Linked DNA regions of Saccharomyces cerevisiae S288C. The gene in region 2 interacts genetically with the main gene of each other region. Each region holds a gene or a part of one and is shown on either strand. Other genes may lie near its edges.

Region 1 (4,243 bases), on a different chromosome or scaffold from region 2:
AGAGATTGGGTCCAAAGAGAGCTAACAACATCAGAAAGTTCTTCGGTTTGTCCAAGGAAGATGACGTTCGTGATTTCGTCATCAGAAGAGAAGTCACCAAGGGTGAAAAGACTTACACCAAGGCTCCAAAGATCCAAAGATTGGTTACTCCTCAAAGATTGCAAAGAAAGAGACACCAAAGAGCTTTGAAGGTCAGAAACGCTCAAGCTCAAAGAGAAGCTGCTGCCGAATACGCTCAATTGTTGGCTAAGAGATTGTCTGAAAGAAAGGCTGAGAAGGCTGAAATCAGAAAGAGAAGAGCTTCTTCTTTGAAGGCTTAAAGTTAGAAAGCAGTAAAAGATAAATTCTTTTGTTCAAAAACTCCTTTCTTATTCTGTATTTTGTGTATTTTTAAGCTTAAAATCAAATAACTTTATTTTTTATATAATTAACAAAAAGAAAAATAATCATATGTATTGTAAACGAGAGTCGGAATGTATCCTCAACTGAATATCCAAGCGAGTCCACAGTAGCTAATAGTCTGAAAAAAAAAGGAACCCTTGTCCTTGAACAGAAATGACAAAATTACTACGTATTTCAGGATGCTATATAAGATTGTTTACAAGAGTACAAAAGTCCAGTATAGCAACAGCAGATTGGACGTCTAGTTTCGTTGCTTCATCTCATAGTAACCAATTCTTCTGCGCTAGTCGGATGAATAGCAACACAATTATCGAAATCAGCCTTAGTGGCACCCATCTTTATAGCAACACCGAACCCTTGCAAGATTTCTGCAGAGGAATCACCAACAATGTGCAGACCGACAACCTTTTCATTTGGTCCCGCACAAACAATTTTATATCTTGTGGGTGATTTCTCACTCAACATAGCATAGTACATGGCGGTAAATTTGGAATTGTAGACCTTTATATTCTCCTTACCGTACTTTTCAATGGCTTCCTTCTCAGAAATACCAATGGAACCGGCTTCAGGATGTGAGAAAATTACGCTGGGGACGTTCTCGTAATCTAGTTTGTCATTACGGAATTTCTCTGGACCAAACAGTCTATTAGACAGCTTTCTGCCCGCTGCAATAGCGACAGGTGTCAATTCAACTTTTCCAACAACGTCACCTAGAGAATAAATGTTTGGAACATTGGTGTTCTGATATTCATCAGCAATTATTTGGTCATGAGAGTTCAGCTTTATACCTACATTTTCTGAACCCATACCTAGATGGGATTTACGTCCAATTGTCCAAATTAATTCGTCAACGTCATCGATGGACTTTGAGTCATTCATATGTATTTTCAGTTTGTCAGTTTCTACATTTTTCTCCACCTTAACAATTTTGGATAGTTTATGAACGTTGATGCCTTCCTTTACGTAATGGTCAGTAATAGTGTTCTGGATGCATTCATCAAATTTTCTCAAGACAGTTTCACCTCTAATTACCAAGTGCGTTTCGGATCCCAGCCCATGGAACACACCTGCTAGCTCAATACCAATATAACCAGCGCCAACAACAACAACTTTCTTAGGTTGTTCTTCCAATCTAAAGAACCCATCAGAATCAGTACCTAATTCGAAACCTGGAATGTTTTCGGGGAAAATAGCCTTTCCACCGGTCGCAACTAAAATATGGTTAGCGGAGTAAACTTCAGTAGTATTATCCCTTTTCTGAACTTCAACATTACCGTCCTTATTGAATCTAGCCCATCCAAATACAACATCCACTTTTTCTTTTTCTAAATTCTTCTGGTATATACCGTTCAACCTATGGACATAAGCATCCCTTTTCTGCTTAAATTCTGGCCAATTAAAAGTCAAATGCTCTTTATCTAATGGAAGATTCTGATATAATCCATATTCATTTGCATGGGATACTCTAGTAGCGAGGTCAGAAGCATACCACATGACTTTCTTCGGAACACAACCCACGTTAACACAGGTACCACCAAGAGCCTTAGCTTCAACTAGTAATGTCTTCGCACCATAAGATGCAGCTCTTCTTGCGGAAGCAACACCCCCTGAGCCACCCCCGATGACGAGGTAATCGTAATGCTTGGTGTTCGTGGACATAGTTCTTATCTGTAGACTTCTAAATGTTTGTTTGGTTGCAGAAAGCATAAAGTTCTGTAAACTAATATGTAAATAGATATATATACATATGAAGGAAAGCAGCAAAATATACTGAGAGTGAGAAGCGCATGAGAAAAACCAGAAGTGTTTCTTATACTTTTTTAGACTGATTTTAATAGTAGATTCCAAATGGAAAGCTCCGAAATCCTCGAAAAATTGACAAGGGTCGTGCTTACTAAGTGACGTCAAAAAATATCAGGCATAGTGAAAACCAACGTGAAGAAGCAAAAGCAGCAAAGCGCCGTGCAAATGAATTAAACTATCTATTGAGACTCCTACATGAAATGCTTGCCAATTATGTACGTATAAAACCAACAATTTTATGCTAAACGCGTAAAATCTAGAGCCGAGTTTGATTCTTCCACGCTTTCAATGCTGTTATACGGAGAAACTGTCGTCTTTTCCGTACCTGACTCTGAAAATAATGAAGATTTACGGGCAGCATGCAGCATCTTTTTAGAATACTCATGCAATGTGCATAAAAGGCATAGAATTGACCAACAAACGCAAACACCGCCGTATATGGTTCCTAGGACTCTAAATGCATATAAGGGAACGTACTGGTTATACTGCACATATAACTCTTCGTTTCCTAAAGACATAGTACCCATCGGGAAAGTCATCCCCCAAAAACCTTTGTGGAAGGTATAAACTCTCTTCACTTTTCCTGTCTCGTTTTCAATCTCTTTTTTATTGTAGTACGACAGGATTGAAACGACAGAAATCACGGTGAAAAAATAGCCCATAGCGAGCAATGCCATAGCAGAAACCATGCCTAGAATTTTGAAACACCATGGAACTGCAATAGTCAATATCTCTTGTTCTCTTGTAATGTTATCTGTTGGGTAATATTTGCCCGCATATTTTTTTATATTATCTGTAAGCAATAAGACTCCAAAACTTCCTTGGCCCATCGGGCCCAAAAGCAGGAATAAGGTGAAAACCTGTGTCATTGGTGGTATCTTATTAATATAAAGACTCCAGAAGTATATCGCAATCAGTATGAAGACGAAGATAATGGCATGCAGCCACGTTAAGGCACATATGACCAACGTTATCAGTTGAATGTTTCTATTAAACGCATGGAAGAATATTTCTGACATTGTGAATGTTCCACAACTTGAAGCGACGACAACCAGCGGAATGATATCCAGTAGCAATACACTTTTCATGTTTTCGGATGCCATTTTGATATTATATGAAGGATAATTCCCAATCCCTTCCAAAGGGTAATAGTCATGCCAGATGAGAAACGAGATACCCCACGCTATTACTAGACAGACTGCGAGATCATACCACCACAAGACGTAAACAAATATCATCAAATTTCTGGCATTAGTGGGGCTCTTCGTCGTGTTCGCTTTCGAGAGTGCTCCTAAGAAATTTATAATTGTAACTAACCCCATGGGATAAGTACCCCAAAATAAATTGTGCTTCATATTTCTGAAAAAGTCATTAAAATATTCTCTGAAGCTTTTCTCCTTAATATAGACAATCAAATGTAATATTTGTAGTGCCTGCACAGCAATGAAAATAAGGCAAGCGATAGCAAACATGATGTAGGAGCATATTCTTAGCCACCTTGCAGGATATGGGAAGCTATATAGAATATTCGATGAAATGCCGACACCCATGACCATCATAAACATGAAGGGGTCAAACTGCCTCGTAAGAGCAAGTACCCAATTGGCAACCATTTTTTTCTTGTACTTGTCTTCTCTTACACTATAAAACGTTTTTAAATTGCGCGTATTGTCTGAGCTCAATCAACAATCGTTACTAGGGGAAAGCTGTAATTTGTGTGTTGTCTAAATGCGGAGAATTTGTTCAGCCAATATCACAAGTTTCAACTTAACAAGACAAGGATTAGAAATAAGAACTACACGCTGGTTGGCTATTCTTTTAGAACCTCTAGTTAAATAGGTAAAATAAGCAAAGTGAGCAAAAATAAGCAAAAGAAGTCAAAGACAACCCCAATGTGCCAAAGACGGCGATGAGTCTTCTGTTTTTTAAGATTCATGCACTCTCAGATTTTCGGCTACAGACGCGGCACAAGGATGAAAAAAAAAAAATGATAGTTTGCAGGAATTTATCAGTCAATTGATGGGAGACATCGCTATTG
Region 2 (2,824 bases):
TGCTTCTTGTTCAGAACCAAGCAGATATGCTAGCACAATGTGCACCGTTCTATTTTTTTCTATAGTGTGTTTACATTTCTTGGCACATTGCGTTCGGTTTCAAATTTGTATAATTATTATTGGAGCGAGACAGGCGTTTCTGTACCGCTGTTATTTTTAACATCCACTGCGTTTTATGTATCTCTAAAATTGTGCGTTGCCTTTCTTTTGTTTATATTTTTGTTCAAAAAATGAGTTAATAATGATTTTTCATCTTCGGCTTACCGGTCTTGAAAATATTTGTTAAGACAACAGTGGATAAAATAAAACTAAACAACTCAAGCAAAAGTATTCCACTTCTTAAACAAAGCCCAACTGAAAGGTTGCGAAATACTATGTCATTTTGATTTAATCATCTAATGCTCGAGAAAATTTCAGAGCCGTAATACTTAAGTAATCGGAAGAAAAGTATCTCATTCTTCATTTTTCTCCAAATATATACCTCTTGTGTGAAAAATTAATTGTTTCCTCCACCTCCTTTGTGTGGTGGGCAATTGTGTGCTTCCGAGTAAATAACAAAACATAAGGATAATATATAATTCTGTTTTTTTGTCTAAAAAAGGTAAACTATATATAACAAACACAGTATAGAAACACAATATATCGGTCATTGGGTGAGTTTAAGCATTAGCAGCAATGGCTTGCTTAATAGCCGCTGGGTTGGCACCAACAACCTTTGCAACTTCCTTACCGTTCTTGAATAGAAGCAAAGTTGGCATAGCGGAAACTTCATTCTTTTGTGCAACATCACCCAATTCATCGACATCCAATTTATAGAAATCAGCTTGTGGGTATTGTTCAGAGAATTTTTCAATCATTGGAGCAATCATTTTACATGGACCGCACCAAGTGGCGTAGAAATCTACGACAACTAGCTTGTCTTGAGCAATTGCAGAGTCGAATTCGCTGGCAGTTTTGAATTGAGTAACCATTATTTGTATCGAGGTGTCTAGTCTTCTATTACACTAATGCAGTTTCAGGGTTTTGGAAACCACACTGTTTAAACAGTGTTCCTTAATCAAGGATACCTCTTTTTTTTTCCTTGGTTCCACTAATTCATCGGTTTTTTTTTTGGAAGACATCTTTTCCAACGAAAAGAATATACATATCGTTTAAGAGAAATTCTCCAAATTTGTAAAGAAGCGGACCCAGACTTAAGCCTAACCAGGCCAATTCAACAGACTGTCGGCAACTTCTTGTCTGGTCTTTCCATGGTAAGTGACAGTGCAGTAATAATATGAACCAATTTATTTTTCGTTACATAAAAATGCTTATAAAACTTTAACTAATAATTAGAGATTAAATCGCTTATTGCTTAGCGTTGGTAGCAGCAGTCAACTTAGCTTGTTCAACCAAGTTTTGTGGAGCATCGAAGACTGGCAACATGATTTCAATCATTCTGATCTTAGAGTTGTCGTTGAAAGACTTGTCTTGGGTCAACTTGTCCCATTCACCGGTGGTAGCGACTCTGTGGGTTTCATAGTCCTTAGCACCGAAAGTTGGCAACAAGGATAGGTGGTCCCAACCTTGAATTTCGTTGTATTGAGCCTTTGGACCGTGAATCAACTTTTCAATGGTGTAACCATCGTTGTTCAAGACGAACAAGTATGGCTTCAAGCCCCATCTGATCATGGTGGAGATTTCTTGAACAGTCAATTGCAAAGAACCGTCACCAATGAATAAGATAACTCTCTTCTTTGGATCAATTTCTTCAGCAGCGAAAGCAGCACCCAAGGTAGCACCAGTGGTGAAACCAATGGAACCCCATAAGACTTGAGAGATACCGTAGGTGTTGTTTGGGAAAGTGGTTTGGTTGATACCGAAAGCGGAGGTACCGGTTTCAGCAATGACAACATCACCTTCTTGCAAGAAGTTACCCAATTGGTTCCACATCCATTCTTGCTTCAATGGGGTAGAAGCTGGGACAGCAGCGTTAGCTGGAGTTCTAGCTGGGACAGCAACTGGCTTGTAACCCTTAGCGGCGTCAGCAATAGTGGTCAACAACTTTTGCAAAACGAATTTCATTTGGACACCTGGGAAAGTGGCGTTTCTGATCTTCATGTGGTCGGAGTGGAATTCGACAATGTTCTTGGTCTTGTAAGAGTAAGAGAAAGAACCGGTGTTGAAATCAGACAACAAAGCACCGACAGACAAAATCAAGTCAGCAGATTCAACGGCTTCCTTAACTTCTGGCTTGGACAAGGTACCGACGTAAACACCACCGTATCTTGGGTGTTGTTCGTCAATGGAACCCTTACCCATTGGGGTGACGAAAGCTGGGAATTGAGTCAAGTCAATCAACTTCTTAGTTTCAGCCTTGACGTCGTGTCTGGAACAACAAGCATCAGCCAAGATAACTGGGTTCTTAGCATCCTTGACCAAAGCCAAGATGGTGTCAATGACTTCCTTTTCGGATTCAGCATCGTTTGGCTTCAAAGACATGTCAATTGGAGTTTGCAACAACTTAGCTGGGACGTTCAAGTCGACCAAGTTAGCTGGCAAACCTAAGTAGACTGGTCTTTGGGTGACGTAAGTGGTTCTGATACATCTGTCAATTTCAGCTGGGGCGGTAGCAATGTCAGTGATCATAGCAGTGGTTTCAGAAATGTTGGCAGACATTCTGTGGAAAACAGTGAAGTCACCGTTACCCAAGGTGTGGTGCAACAACAATTGCTTAGCTTGAGCAGAGATGGATGGGACACCAACAACGTGCAAAACACCGACGTGTTCAGCGTAAGAACCGGCAATACCGTTCAAAGCAGACAATTCACCGACACCGAAGGTG

What was found.
Region 1: of TRX1 (region 2) and GLR1, changing one enhances a phenotype caused by changing the other (phenotypic enhancement), as found in Saccharomyces cerevisiae (one study listed by BioGRID).

What each region holds. Positions count from the first base shown.
Region 1 is NC_001148.4:373,368-377,610, reverse strand, and holds GLR1 (glutathione-disulfide reductase GLR1), read right to left. Parts: upstream 2,110-4,243; coding exon 658-2,109; downstream 1-657. Other genes in the region: 40S ribosomal protein eS6 RPS6A, read left to right, coding at 1-320; SSU1 (Ssu1p), read right to left, coding at 2,442-3,818. UniProt on the Saccharomyces cerevisiae protein: Catalyzes the reduction of glutathione disulfide (GSSG) to reduced glutathione (GSH). Constitutes the major mechanism to maintain a high GSH:GSSG ratio in the cytosol.
Region 2 is NC_001144.5:231,043-233,866, forward strand, and holds TRX1 (thioredoxin TRX1), read right to left. Parts: upstream 972-2,824; coding exon 660-971; downstream 1-659. Other genes in the region: PDC1 (indolepyruvate decarboxylase 1), read right to left, coding at 1,348-2,824. UniProt on the Saccharomyces cerevisiae protein: Participates as a hydrogen donor in redox reactions through the reversible oxidation of its active center dithiol to a disulfide, accompanied by the transfer of 2 electrons and 2 protons.